Lepisosteus oculatus: one gene and its partner. The protein of the gene in region 2 interacts with the protein of the main gene of each other region in a biochemical or structural test. Links are inferred from orthologs where the notes say so. Each region holds a gene or a part of one and is shown on either strand. Other genes may lie near its edges.

The links.
Region 1: the proteins of pcna (region 2) and rev1 form a complex in vitro, tested with the Homo sapiens proteins (2 studies listed by BioGRID, with this or other methods). The link is inferred for Lepisosteus oculatus from reciprocal best matches to the Homo sapiens genes PCNA and REV1.

The regions. Positions count from the first base shown.
Region 1 is NC_090710.1:2,840,366-2,847,854, forward strand, and holds the start of rev1 (DNA repair protein REV1), read left to right. Parts: upstream 1-4,467; 5' UTR 4,468-4,486; intron 4,487-5,106; exon of another isoform or gene 5,107-5,339; intron 5,340-5,462; exon of another isoform or gene 5,463-5,986; intron 5,987-6,081; exon of another isoform or gene 6,082-6,876; intron 6,877-7,489. UniProt on the Homo sapiens protein: Deoxycytidyl transferase involved in DNA repair. Transfers a dCMP residue from dCTP to the 3'-end of a DNA primer in a template-dependent reaction.
Region 2 is NC_090697.1:65,499,323-65,507,217, reverse strand, and holds the start of pcna (proliferating cell nuclear antigen), read right to left. Parts: upstream 3,022-7,895; 5' UTR 2,828-3,021; coding exon 2,607-2,827; intron 571-2,606; coding exon 473-570; intron 212-472; coding exon 144-211; intron 1-143. Other genes in the region: putative aminopeptidase W07G4.4, read right to left, coding at 5,557-5,691, 7,643-7,824. UniProt on the Homo sapiens protein: Auxiliary protein of DNA polymerase delta and epsilon, is involved in the control of eukaryotic DNA replication by increasing the polymerase's processibility during elongation of the leading strand.

The sequences.
Region 1 (7,489 bases), on a different chromosome or scaffold from region 2:
AGTGCACAAGAATGGGTCTCTCTTACAAGAAACATCTTCAATTCACTGATTCAGGATGAAAATGCATTTCCTTTAGAAAATGTCCCCCGTTAAAGGGGAATAACTACATCCTTGCAGATGTCTTACAGTAGGTGTGCATTAAAGACCATAACCCTAATCTTACCCTACCTCTATCCACATAAACCTCAACCTCTTTAGTATTGTACTGCCTAATGTTTGAAAATTTAGGAAACTAGAAAATTAGGAAACACGTTCTGTTACCGGGGTATTTATCCAATACCTCTCTCTTGAGAATGAGACAAAGGGTTCTGGCACCTTCAGAAGAAAATGAGACAGAACTCAGGCTGTGGACCATGACCACTTCAGGGACACTGCAGACAGACGGGAAGGACTCAAGTGATCTTCTGCAGGGACTGCCTCAGAAAAGAGGGGTAGGTCAGTTTGCCCGGTCTTGATGGAGCACATCGATGTTGTGTGAATTCATGCGCCAGCCCTCTTGCTGTCTGAGTGTCTGTTCGCCACCATCACTCTCTTGTCACACTTCAACAAGGCCACAGAAGCAGCCTGGAGCACTATATCCTTATCAGGGTGACTGGTAGGACAGACAAGGAGCAGCTTTTTATTAAAATCAGTGTGTTGATTTATGGCCAAAATGTAGGCATTCTAATGTTGTATAGATTGAGGAAAGTGGAATTTGTTGTTCTTTTTTAAGGTTGTAACGGTTGAAGATTACATTTCTGTAGGAAAAGAAAACGTTGGAAAAAAGTGCAATACTCACAAAAATCTAATCTTTCTCAAGGGAACTTTTTTTAAACAAAAAAAAGGGTTTGGAAATCTAATGTTTTTGGCAATGTGAAAAACTGTATTCAGTCATGTTTTAATTCTATGCAAACGTTTGCCGATATTGTTTTATATGTTATTTATATTTTCCAGCGACAGTACAGACTGCTGTAATTAAACACATTTCAAGTGCTCTATTTGTATTTCGTGTTGCCTTTGGATTGGTTTGTAATGACACCTAGTGGTACTTCTGGTTTATACAAGTAAAGCTCCACAACGCATAGTCGCTTGCTTTTTAAGCCTTTTTACGCACTGCGTCCTTGATGATTTATCTCACAAAATCCGTGTTTAGTCTTCATTTATTTTATTTTTTCAGTTTTATACATTATGAGAAAGCAGTGGGGCAAATTAAAGGTCTGGTTTTCCACTAAAGAGGCCTGTATTTAGGAAACGAGCAGTGGCTCTTTTTCGGCCATTCACCTTGTTAATACACCCGTACACACGTGAGGTTTGGCTCCTGTGCTCGAGTCTCCTGCAGCGTGTAGCTTTCATTTCATTCTTGCAGTCATACTGCAAGAGAAGCCAGATTTGACAGCTCTATTATTATGGCTAATGCCTACAGAAGGGGATAATTTTCAAATGAGTATAGAAAAATCCTCAAGGCCGCTTACAGAGTCTACACCTCAGACTTATGTCCAATGAACAGTGGCATATGAACCGGCAAAAGTGGAAACAAGATGGAAGGATTGTGGGAGTCTGGAATGAGCTTCTCAGCCGCGTCATTGAACCCGATACCCACTGAAACGGATCGCTTGTATCCCTAATACACTACTTAAAAGTTTGACATATTGTTTCTTTCGCAGCGATTTACATAAATTCCGTAGCATGATGACTTTTTTTTTATCCACCACATGAAAAATTACAGCAGTTCACCCCCGTTCACGCAGGGTGAGCACAGCTTTGGGGGAGTTTGGGGAGAGGGCTCAAGGCAGCGGAACACGGTACGCATCGGCCGCGGCTCTTCCTGTACTTCCAGCTCTGACGTCTAAGACAGTTAAACTGCCTTGTTGATCTGTAAATGCGAGCTCTCCTTTGTGAGCCACTGCGTAACGGATTTGCAAAAGCAACTTTCAGTGCAGGAAAAAAAAAACCGCGTTAAAATCATTCTCTCTCGCTATTTTCTGCTTTCCCTTCTCTCTCTTCTTCCCACCCTCTCCGCCAGCCCTTCAATCGCTCTTGTACTCAGCGGCCAATATGGAGCCAGCAACATCCCAGGCTCCATCACAAGCCGTGTGCTACCATGGCAACAGAAGAGCGGGTCGGCCAATCAGGTGAGAGCCATGAGGTCTGACAGATGTCATAAACTCGCTGCAGAGCCGCAGAGAAACACAGCCGCTCCAGATACAGACGCTGTTGCTCCAGCGGCACACGCCCAATGCACCGCTCACTTTCTGTCTGCAAAAGGTCTGTTAATCATCTGGTGCTGTACGCGCGCACTACAGGTTATGCTGTTCATTTCTCCTGTGTTCTTTGTTCATTTAATCTAGGCGTCCTAGCTCAGGAATTATCCAGACAAACCCTATTTTAGATACAGTATATAACCAAAGCATTGCACTGAAAATCACGTAATTATGGATAAATAACCCATTGTGGTCCCTTTATTTTCTATTAGCTCCTAGGTAAGAATATTTTTAAGAAGCTTTATGTGATGGCTCAAAGTTTCAGGGATTCATGTGAGGCCTCTATTTTGATATACAGGCCAATCTATATTCTGAAACATACATCAGGACATTTGGGATAGTTCTGGGTCTTTGTCCTCTGCCTTAATTAAACGAATTGGGAAAGTCAGGCATTTTCCCAACATTTTTTACATTTAGGACCCAGATTTTAAGTCAAATTTGGGATCCGGCCATCAATGGCCAATCCCAGGCCTTTGCTGTCCTTCCGTGGAAAGGTGCTCTCGGGGAGGAGGTTGGAATTTGGATAGGGGAAGACAGGCCGGTGTACACATCGGAGTCCTACCTGGAGGGTTTGGAGCAGATATTCAGTGACAGCACAGCGCCGGCGCTCGCAGAGAAGCTGCTGACAATGACACAGGAGGAAAGGAGGCAACCGGGAGGAGCAGATGGTAATACCAGTTATCCAGATGTGTCAGACTCCAGATGTGGGAGACCGGGGTTGTCTGGTTACATCCATCCATTTCCCAACCTCTTTATCCAGTAAAGGGCCGAGGGGAGCTGGAGCCTATTTTGGCAGGAGACGGGCGCAAGGCAGGATGGGAAGACACACTCACTGGGATGGCATCATCGAGTTCTTATTCCAAATTAGTCACTCATTTACCTAAGAATTATTCTCCCACAGATTTATCTAAAGTGGGAGACAATGCAAATGCTCATATGCTTCATTAAAGGGAGTTACCTATAAAACAGATCCTGGTGAGAAGTGTTCAAATTGTCTAGGCACAAGTAAAGGAAAAGATAGGTTTGAGCAGAGAGCCGTGTCAGCGTTGGGCACGAGGGAACAAGTATGCTTTCATTCAGTTTAGAGAAGGCCCCACACCTGAAGAAGGCTCACCAGCCAAAACACTTCTTTTCTTATACTGTTCACTGCAAAATGGGCATTTATTTCTTCCTTTGCAGCTGACACACCTCCTTGCTCGAACCTCTTCGAATTGTGTATCTGAGATCGGGTGGATCTCAAAACACAGGGATCCACTGGAATCAGGAGGCAGATCTCAAAACACTGAGATCCACTGGAATCCAAAAGTGGATCTCAAAACACAGATCCACTGGAATAAAAAGTAGATCTCAAAACACTGAGATCCACTGGAATCCAAAAGTGGATCTCAAAACACTGAGATCCACTGGAATCCAAAAGTGGATCTCAAAACACAGATCCACTGGAATAAAAAAGTAGATCTCAAAACACTGGGATCCACTAGAATCAAGAAGACACTGGGCCCACTCGGACACTCCTGAGGCGACGTCTGCAAGGAAAGAGATGCGGGTGTTTCTTCAGTCTAGAATATAAGAAATAGCCTGAGGGCTTTCTTTCCATGTCAAGACTGGGGCGCTGAAAAGACTTCGCCAATCGAAGACTCTCTGGAGTAAAGACTCGCAGTGGGCTAAAAGTACCAAGGCTGACAGACCCTGAGCTAAACTGAGCTGCAGCACGAGATACGTGCCCCTGAGATGAACAACAGATGGTGAGGAAATGGATTCGTGAAATTCAACATCTACAACACAAGATGGCGCAATGGCCAAACACCACGTTTAGCTGAGAGAAACAAAGTTTCATGTTTAAAATGCATCCCTACGATGGCGCGGTAATTACGTTTCAATCTTCATCTAAAAAGAACATACAACTGTTTTAAATATATATGTAGTGAAGTATTTAATGCATGTTATTCAGTTCACGGATCTCAGCAAAGTGTTATTTTACTTTAGATAGGTTTGGAAATATATCTGAAAGCCAAAAAAAGGACTGAAAAATGACGCAACTAGCTTGCCTAACTAGCAATGTCGACGAACAAATGTCTGGAAGTGGCACAAAGCGTTCACAAACTCCCGCATCTACAAAACACGGAGCTCTTGGAGGTCGCGGCTCCGGAGGGGACTGGCGCTGAAGAAAGTCGTGAGAGTCGAGACGCACTTGGGGTGCACCCCACGTGTTTCGCGCGAGTTCAGCGGGACCCGGAGCTCTGCAGGTACCCGCAGGGCCGATATCCGCCGCTGGGAGCTTGTTGCCAGGCAAGGCTGAAACACACGCTTTGTACCGCCTCTATTTCCAGATGTCCCCGATAGGCACTGCATCGAAGTAGCAATTATTATATAGTGTTATTGTTGGTGGTGGTGTGCTGTGGTTTTTCATCTAAGCCATTAAGAAACGTTTTTGATCTATACGGGCGGTGGTTATATTAGTAATTATTCCTGGGTTTTTAGAAAACGACAAAGTTAAACGTTTTGAACATAGGAACTCTTATCTTTGTACTTCGTGATTACTATTTAATCCTATCCACTTTCCTTCGAGATGAATACGCGCGACTAAAATACGGATTTTTTCATAATGAAAAAATATGGATGGTTAATCGTCCTGCGTTCTCGTATGGGTTCTGAATCCCACGAAAAAGGCTAGCGCGATTAAGTGTCCGATGAAACGGTAGCGCCGTATTAATTCAAATTCAATTGTATAATACACCGATATTTACGGTAATTCTGTTGCAGCACAAATCTTGCTCTGAATCCGTCAGGTTAAGCCTCCTCGTCACGCGTGTTGAGGTTGTGACGTGAGCTGGGCATTGATGTCGGGGGACACACGAAACCTCGCTCCTTCCCCGCAGAGAGGCGGTAGTTTCTGTGCGGGGTCGTGCCTCGAAGCGCGACGTTCAGAGGAAAAGCCGCTCGGGTCCCTGGTGCACAGGTGGCGCGGCGTGGATTGACGTTCACCCTTGTTCCCCCAGCCACGTTAAACGAAGGGCTCCCTCGCAGTGTGAAATAGCACTTCGCCATGTTTGAATCAAAGCAGGCCGTGGAGCGCCCCTCGGGTACACACAGCCGCAGGTGCGCTTCAGTCACGGAATGAAGTCTTGTGTGGAGAAGGGACGAGGGGGCTGGGGCTGGCTGGGGCACGGTGTTATTCGGTTAAAAAAAAAAAACAACACGGTCTTGGCGCCTGTTGCCCCAGCTTTTTAATCACTCCGCTTGAATGAATTATTTTTTCCTCCTGCTGCAGCGTGTTCACCAGACTCGCGGCGGGGGGAGGGGGTGTACTCGGGCCACAGAGTCTGCCAGCCGCCGCCGCCGAGCCAGTCAATGAATCCCTGGGCGTGAGAGGGGGGCCCTCGCTCACTAGACGCGCTGCGTCACTGCAGGCGAGCGATCCCGGCGCTGGGGGGCGCTGCGAGACCGGCCGCCGGCGGCGCGTCTCTCCGTGGTGACCCCGGCAGGAGGAGCGTCCGCGGCGGTCGGCGAATAGGAGGAGGAGCCGGGGAGAGCGAGAGAGGCAGGCGGCGAGAGAAGGCTGCTGGAAATGGGGAGAGAGAGAAGGGCGATCGGGGGGGACTCGCTCGTCTGACTGAAGAGCCACGAGTGCGAGTGGGAGAGAGGGGGCGAAGCAGAGGACAAAAGACGGAGCAGAAGAGGCAGGAGGGAGAGGGAGAGGCCGGCCTGCACGGGCGCAGGAATGAGAAGCTCGCTGTAGAGGAGAGGTGAGGACGGATCCCCCATGAGCCCGAGCCCGAGCCCGAGCCGCGAGCCGCGCGCGCCGCGCCGGACTGCGAGCTCTCGTGCGATCGCGTGCCTTCCGCCTGGCGTGCGCTCGGGGCAGCCGTCTCGCTCGGCGCGAGAGGCCGATGCGCGGGAGCCGCGGCTGACGCGTCCTCTCCTCTCCGCTGGTCCGGTCCCGGCCGAGCCCGCAGACTGCCAGCCTTGCCTGGGGGTTTACCCCCCACCCGAACTCCTTCTCCTGTTTTTTTTTAGGCCGGCCTGGGTCAGACTGTCCCACCCACCAGCTGAATCACATGGGACGGGGCGAGCAGACACAACACAGGCGTTCACGCCAGGTCGCAGCCGGCTCTCTGGCCGGGGCGGCAGGGTGTTCGCCCGCCGATTTGTAGCGGGGAGCGGGGGGCTCTCACGTTAGAGTCCGGTGCCCCTGAGCTGCTGTAGTTGGAGCCCCCTGACCGGGGGTGTTGCCTCCTATTACACCGTAGTGCCCTTCCTGTGTGTATAAGCGGCATGACCCCTGCGCCCCCCGAAATATCCCGGCGTTGCCCCCTGTTTTGACAGTCCGCGGGCAGACCCGGCACGTCCGAGCTCAGCGGCGATGAAGGGGCTCACCGGGCGGGCGGAAGTGCTGTATTACAGTCGGGTAACCCGCTGCTCCGGGGTCTGCCAGTGCAGGCTTCAGGACGAGGCAGCTGTAGGACTCACGGTGTTTATCAGTCGGAGTGGAATGACAAGAGTTCAACCTGAACAATGAGTCTGCGTTTTCCATATTTTGTAGCGTTTTGCTTTGGAAGCCATCGTTTTACAGCTTTGCGACGTAGTAAATATGAGGTGCCGCTAACTTTGTTTTCTTATTGTACATACATGTGTGGTAAGAAATCCTAAACTTCACATTATTTGTGGTGGGTTATGGCTTAACAATGTTGACCTGTCGTGTCAAGTAAAGGTAACGTGAATAATGGAAAATGAAACAGCCGGTGTTCTTTCTGTGAACCCTTTTATATATATATATCAATAAACTGTCCACCTTGATCAATAATTGTTTCTCCAACAAGCATTCTTCACACAGGAGGTGTCTCTCAAACTGTGGGGTGCTGTGTATAAAGGGCACACACCCCTTATTCTCTTACTGTAGGTTCTGAGTGAGCTCCCTGCCTCTCCCATCGAAGTGATGGCAGGGGTTTCTGAAAAGGGGCAGTCGACACAAAAATAGATTTTGTTTCAGAATTTATGACTGTGGTGTCTGAGGGGATTTCTGTATTGAAAGAATGTTTTATTAAGGATAGAAAGCTGGGTTTTCCGAATCGGTTCCTTCAGGGCTCCTGTGTCCTTTGGTGTTTATGCAGACCAGAGCGGTCAATTAAGCAATTAACCTCATTCCTTTCTCAGTTTAGATGCAAGGAGGATGTTTCCTCCATTCGTTCACAGTTGATTGCTCCCAAGTGTTCACTTTATTAGCGACACTGAGAAAGCGTCTCAGTGCC
Region 2 (7,895 bases):
AGGGGAAATAGGTCGGGCTTGTACTTAAACGATCAGTCTAGCGTTCTAATCACTGGATCGTTAAAAACCTGCTCCCTCGGCGCCGACCTGGACTACAGGACCACCGACGAGCCCGGGACCCTCTTCAGGAGAGGGGCACTTACTGGGATCCCCAGCTGCTCCACATCGAGGTCCATCAGCTTCATCTCGTAGTCCGACACCTTCTCCTGATCTGGGGGGGGAGGAGACGAGAGGGAGAGTCAAGCTCCTGGCGCCCCAGGGTGAGCTCCACTGTCCTCTGGAGCAAAATCACAGCACCGAGCACAGCCCATCACCAACCCCGCCCGGTGATACAAGCCGAAAACAGGAAGAGGCCGCTCGGACTAGTTAGCAGCGGCTACCTGATCCTGTCCGATAACCATCGCCTGTTCCACACTCCCACCCCCCCTTTGTGTAAGGGAGTTCCACAACCCCGAGCTCACAACCCACTCACTGAGCGTCTCGAACACCAGGGCCAGCGTGTCGGCGTTGTCCTCCGCGCGCAGCGTGATGATGTCCTCGTTCCCTGCGCACTTCAGGATCTTCGACATGCTGCAGCGACAGGAGAGAGCGTCCCTGAGTGGCCCCGCAACTGTCCGGCCCCCCCAGACCTGCCGGGTCAAAGCTGCCACTCTCCGCCACCCCCACATCCCGGAGAGACGGGCCCCTTCGCAAACGTTCGGGAGCGAAGCAAGAGGTAAGGGTTTATTCCGCGCTGGAAGAGACAAGTTCGGCTCGGGAGCCTTCTGAAGGGTGAATGAGGCTCCACAGCCAGACCCTCGTCTCTTTTCCTTTTCAGCACAGGAATCAACAGGAAGTTTCTGGACTAAACGCATCTACTGCTACATCTGTTCTCTTTCTTTTCCCCCGTTTACAACCATTTTTTGTGCAATATATGCCAGGGACCTGTGCAATACATTTATATGTATATCTATATTTATATTCATATGTGTGATACGATTTTTCTGTGTACTGTTCTGTTCTAGTTTGTTCTTTGTGTGTCCGGACTGTGAGTAACTCTTGTATTGTATTGTATGTATTGTACTATTATTATATAATTCGTTACACTGTGGCTGTGTTGTGTGTGTTAAGCTGCTGTTGCACTGCAATTTCCCTCACGGGATCAATAAAGTATCTATCTAACCTTGACTTGCGGCTTTGCAGCCCAGCCATGCCGACGCAGCTCCCCGCCTGAACTTCTTCAACGTCTGGGGACGCCGTTCATCTATTTATTGACCATCAGGGGGATTTTAAAATCTAGTCAGCCCAAAAAAATCCTCACCTACAGTGACTAGCAGCAGGTCATCGGAGAGATGTCCCAAATCAACACCCCACATGCCACCTGAGCCCACATCTCTCTCATCCCGAGACAGGACACTGAACTGCTGCTCCTGGCCGTCTCCCTCAGGGTGATCTGCCCCTGCACAGCGAACTGTCGGACACCTGCCTCTGTTCTGCGAAGGTGCATTATTCATGTATCATCTACAACGCGTCCATCGCCATTGCAGGGGGAGTAAATTTACGGGCTCTGTCTGCTTATGAAATGTTCTATTCGTTTGAAATGTTTGTTTGTACGGTTTTCTGGAAGTTTCTGTGCGCAAATCGGGCTGCCTGTATGCCACACAAATCTCTGAAGAATCGCATATAGTATTTTATGGCATCGATCTTCTGAATCTAAATGTTAAAAACTGACACTCACTCGAACAAGTGAGACGCTGATCATGCTCAGACCTACAGGGCTGCGTCTCTCCCTGCACGCAGAGCACATTGTACTTTCCCGCCAACAAGACCCCCGTTTGCGAATTTGGCGCCGAAGTGACGTCACGGGGCAGGGGCAGCCATGCCGCCTTTTGATTTCCTATTCCGTTTTCCCAACTCGTGGCGCCAGAGCAGCAACAAAAAAAAACCATCCAGGCGCCCGAGTTCACTTTGACACAAACTTAAAAGGGGCAAAACAGGGCATCTACACGCCCTGTGATTTACAGGCTGAGTGCTCAAGTTAAAAAAGCCGGAACTGAAATACAGACCTCAGGGATAACATTTATGAACTTATAACAGCGATGCACCGTTTATTATTCTTTAACGCATCCTGGATTGCTATTTCGAAAAAAAAAAACAAACGCAACAGATCAATAGCGCTGTATATTATATAAGTTATTTTAGTCATTTCAAATTCCCAGAACGGTTCAGTCAGGTGACGGAGCGCCAGTCCGGAGATCCGCTCATGTACAGACATGCCCGGCGCGGCGCTACTACTCCAAGCACAGAGCACCGTCCGGGGAAACGTCAAGACACCCGGGTCACGGGGGAATGGGCTACTACTACTTTACTGACCAGCACCCGCGAAAACTAGTTCCCTCTGCGCCACGGCGCGCAGTAATTATTTACAACGACTTCACCGCTCTAAAACTCAATGTGAAGAGCCGATCGACAGCGCACTTTATAACCCGTGTTAACAGGCGCTTTGGAAAATACAATAATGCATCAGATACGCAAGATCCGAACCCGGGTGTCGGACAGCAGCGCGCGGGAGGGCTGCCCGCGGACGAGACCTCCTCCCGGGACCGGCTCGGCCCAGCTCAGCTCACCTGCTCAGGTTCACCCCCATGGCCAGGTTGCGATCGCAGCGGTAGGAGTCGAAGCCGTCGCTACGCAGCGTCAGCTGCACCAGCGAGACGTGCGAGGAGTCCATGCTCTGCAGCGAGATGCCGGACGAGCTGATGTCCCAGCACGCCTCGGTGATCAGGTCCTTCAGGGCCTCCAGCACCTTCTTCAGGATCGAGCCCTGGACCAGCCGAGCCTCGAACATGTTGCAGGAACGACCTGTGTGTGCGTGGGCGTGCAAAAAGAGAAATGGGTGGAAACGCAGGTTCCTCAAGCGTCAGGCTCAAAGTTATTGACTCCTGGCTAAATAACCGCAGCAGCACTAACTATGCTTGCTACTCCGGCGACTGAAATACAAAGACGAGCTGGCGGGAATCGCCGAGTTTTATTCTTGTTCCTCTGACGTCACTACAACCCCTCCGCCCACATCCGGGAAACCCCGACCGTCACCCAGGCGATGATTGGCTAAGACGCGCGTGCCTTGGTTTGCGCGCAGCATAGAGACGACTAAAACACTGCGATTTTCATCAGAGGTAGTCAACTATATACCCAGGGTCAAACAAGCACATTATGAAGTGCGATGTTGTCCTCAGTCGGTCGTGCCGACGAGGCGAAGCACCCAGAATCGAGCGCGGCAAATCACTGGGAATGACACCGAGATCAGCCAATCACCGCTGGGGAGACGGTCGGGGACAGCCCGCCCACCCGTATCCGCCATTTTGGCTCTGGCTTTTCCGCGTTTACCCTTCACTTCAGCGAGCCTCCTCGCAGACTGGGTTCCCATCCGACTCGACCCCTGGAGGAAGTGCCGTGTAGTTTAAAAGGGCGCTAATTTGTTTTTATGTTTTTTTGTTCTGAAACGCACAAGGGAGTTTGTTGAGTCAGGCGGTAAAAACATGGCCTGTTGACACATTGGACCACATTTAGAATAGGCATAAAGTGCTGGAAAAGAAAATGTGTAAGAACTGAAAGTAAAGGATTTTTAAGGTGATTGATTAGTATTTTTCTCATGTAAAATCAGGGATGCAGAGCAAAGGTACAGTATTCCGTGATAGGTAAAACTAAAAAATATATTTTTTAATCAATTAAATGAGCGCTTTTCATCAAACCTCTGACAACTGGACAAAAATATCAAAAGAAATTGTCTTCCTGAAACCAGCGACTACTCTTTTCATTCGGATTCCTGTCCTTACACCCACTTTTAATGAGTGTTAATAAGTGAGACACAAACAGACGAGAAAGGGAGAGAGGATCAGCACAGCAGTCTAATAGTAATGAACTAAAAGATGTATTAATATTCCAGGATCAGCAAGGTCTACAGTCTCAAACTCTGTTTCTGGAGGGTGCTGGCATCTAGATTGTATTCCAACCTGAGCAGTCAAACAATTAGCCTAATTATTTTCTGAGCTGGACATATGCCTCATTTTTCTTGAAGTCTTTTATGATTACACTGAAGGTACAGATACCTATACCCCCCTCTGAGCCTGGCTAGATGTATCACAGCTGTGCAGCTCGTGAGATAGACCATCAGTGCAACAGCGACTGTTCAGAAGACGCTGGGCTTTGCAGGCACCCAGCTCTGCTGGAGGAAGATGCCCTCGTGATGCTCCAAACCTGGGCTGATGAGTAGTAAAAGATACCACAGGGGCAGAAGGAACTTGGTGGTTACCATCATCCCTCTGAGGTTTAATTTCCACAGCACCGCCGAAGTCAGCAGGTCTACAAAATTCAGGTTGGGAGCCTATGAGCATAATCTCAGTCTTCTCAATCAAACAGCATAAATCTCCATCTGTCACAGTTAAATTGAGCATAATCTCAGTCTTGTCAATTAAATTGAACATAATTTCAGTCATGTCACAGTTACACTGAGCAACATCTTGGTCTTTTCCATTAAATTGATCTTAGTTGTAGTCCTTTCCAGTACAATGTGGATACAAGAAAGGTTTAATGTCTGATGGAGTTTGCCCATGCTGTCCCATGGGGTGCAGCGATTGACAGTATCAAAACGCAGCACTTTAAACCAGGAGAAGATTATGGAGTGACCCCAAGTTCAAGCCATGATGAATTAACTACTTTAACAACCGATTTACTTTAACCTGGATGAAAAGGTTTGAGGATCTCACTGGCAGCCACGGAAGATTGCAATTGAGCCGACACCTCCCTTTCAGGACTCTTGGGTAGGAAAAGGAGATCAGAAACAGGACAGCAGTTGTTAAGGATCTCCACATCTAGGTGTGAAGTTTGCGGTTAAGAAAAGCCTGGCCTAAAGGAACAAGCCCCGATTTCTGGGACTCACCGATGAGGGCAGCAACTGGAAGAGAAGAAACTTCAGCTACTAATACCACTTACTGTGCCGCCGATGGGAGAAATTCAAACCTGTGGACGGAGAAGACGAGGTCGTCGCGACAGCAGGCGCAACTGGTTAAGGAAAGTGATGAAGACTGGTGTGAAAACTACACCAATGAGTTGCATTGTTCGGGAGAGGGAAAACAGCAGCTAGTTCAAACATTTTACTGATGGCATAAGAAAGGACTGTAGGAGTACTGCAACCCCTCTCACACGATTGCAACTGTTAGTTGTGTTCCTGCAGAACTAAGGTACACTGTCAAGTGTACACTCAAGGCAAGTCGGACCTTTTTAGGTGCATTTACACGGTGTTACTCTTGTACGTGTAGTGCTGTTCTGTTTTTGTAAACTCGGTAAATTGCAGTAAATGAAGTCATTAGACAAGTGCTTACACTGGAAAAATAATGCTAGATGATAAACCAGCAACACGCAACATAAATCAAGAAAACACTTTCATCATTTAGGCCTTTTTATTGCATCGTGTTGAGGATCCAGTTTTTCTCCGGACACACACACACACGCTCTGCGAACCGTTTACGTGTACAAACAGCAAAAACGTCTTGTCATTCACTCTGCTCCGACAGACACTCAGAGGCAGGGCAGGACGTAGCGTGTGGCCATGGCCAGGATCGGCGCTCCGGTCGGGATTCCTGGGAAAGGGCCGGAGGAGCCGGCGATGTCGATGTGGGAGTAACGCAGAGGCTGTTCGGAGTCCGTGCCGTGCTACGGGTGAGAGGGAGGAGTGAACATGTCAGTACAGAGCAGAGTTTCCCCAAGTCCAGATCCCAGGATCCTACATCCAGAGCGTTTTCTCTATGAGTCTTATCTACAAAAGCTCAATGCAACAGCCCAGACACTGCGATGTGGAGGACAAGGGGTTCTGGTGTGTAGTGTGTACAGTTGTGTGCTCGATGTCCAGCCTAGACACTGCGATGTGGAGGGCAGGGGGGTCTGGTGTGTAGTGTGTGTACAGTTGTTTAATGTGTGGATTGTTGTGTGCTCGATGTCCAGCCCACACACTGTGATGTGGAGGGCAGGGGAGTCTGGTGTGAATAGTACAGTGTTGTTTGCTCAGTGTCCCAGTGTCTTGATGCCATGATGAGGAAGGCTGCAGGGCTCTGGTGTGTAGTGTGTGTGGTTGTGCGTTGTGTACCTTGTACAGCCCTGATGCCATGATGAGGAAGGCCGCGGGGGTCTGGTGTGTAGTGTGTGTGGTTGTGTGTTCTGCAACTTGTCCAGTCCTGATGCCACGATGAGGAAGGCCGCGGGGGTCTGGTGTGTAGTGTGCGTGGTTGTGTGTTCTGTGCAGTTTTGTGTACCTTGTCCAGCCCTGATGCCATGATGAGGAAGGCCGCGGGGGTCTGGTGTGTAGTGTGCGTGGTTGTGTGTTCTGCAACTTGTCCAGTCCTGATGCCACGATGAGGAAGGCCGCGGGGGTCTGGTGTGTAGTGTGCGTGGTCGTGTGTTCTGTGCAGTGTTGTGTACCTTGTCCAGCCCTGATGCCATGATGAGGAAGGCCGCGGGGCTCTGGTGTGTAGTGTGCGTGGTCGTGTGTTCTGTGCAGTGTTGTGTACCTTGTCCAGCCCTGATGCCATGATGAGGAAGGCCGCGGGGGTCTGGTGTGTAGTGTGCATGGTTGTGTGTTCTGTGCAGTGTTGTGTACCTTGTCCAGCCCTGATGCCATGATGAGGAAGGCCGCGGGGCTCTGGTGTGTAGTGTGCGTGGTTGTGTGTTCTGTGCAGTGTTGTGTACCTTGTCCAGCCCTGATGCCATGATGAGGAAGGCCGCGGGGGTCTGGTGTGTAGTGTGCGTGGTTGTGTGTTCTGTGCAGTGTTGTGCACCCTGTCCAGCCCTGAAGCCATGATGAGGAAGGCCGCGGGGGTCTGGTGTGTAGTGTGCGTGGTCGTGTGTTCTGTGCAGTGTTGTGTACCTTGTCCAGCCCTGATGCCATGATGAGGAAGGCCGCGGGGGTCTGGTGTGTAGTGTGCAGTGTTGTGTACCTTGTCCAGCCCTGATGCCATGATGAGGAAGGCCGCGGGGCTCTGGTGTGTAGTGTGCGTGGTCGTGTGTTCTGTGCAGTGTTGTGTACCTTGTCCAGCCCTGATGCCATGATGAGGAAGGCCGCGGGGCTCTGGTGTGTAGTGTGCGTGGTCGTGTGTTCTGTGCAGTGTTGTGTACCTTGTCCAGCCCTGATGCCATGATGAGGAAGGCCGCGGGGCTCTGGTGTGTAGTGTGCGTGGTCGTGTGTTCTGTGCAGTGTTGTGTACCTTGTCCAGCCCTGATGCCATGATGAGGAAGGCCGCGGGGCTCTGGTGTGTAGTGTGCAGTGTTGTGTACCTTGTCCAGCCCTGATGCCATGATGAGGAAGGCCGCGGGGGTCTGGTGTGTAGTGTGCGTGGTCGTGTGTTCTGTGCAGTGTTGTGTACCTTGTCCAGCCCTGATGCCATGATGAGGAAGGCCGCGGGGGTCTGGTGTGTAGTGTGCAGTGTTGTGTACCTTGTCCAGCCCTGATGCCATGATGAGGAAGGCCGCGGGGCTCTGGTGTGTAGTGTGCGTGGTCGTGTGTTCTGTGCAGTGTTGTGTACCTTGTCCAGCCCTGATGCCATGATGAGGAAGGCCGCGGGGCTCTGGTGTGTAGTGTGCGTGGTCGTGTGTTCTGTGCAGTGTTGTGTACCTTGTCCAGCCCTGATGCCATGATGAGGAAGGCCGCGGGGGTCTGGTGCCCACGGGGGGTGAGGGTGGAAGGCAGGTTGTTGCTCTGCAGGAGATCCTCGTACTCCGACTTCCCGCGGTGGAACTCAAAATCATCGCGGCGGATCATGGACACCTCGAACACGTCGCCCAGCACCTCCCCCGCTGGCACAGAGAAAGGACAAGGATTGAGCACGGGGAGAGGAAACGCGGGTCGTCTGCGACGCGCGACACGG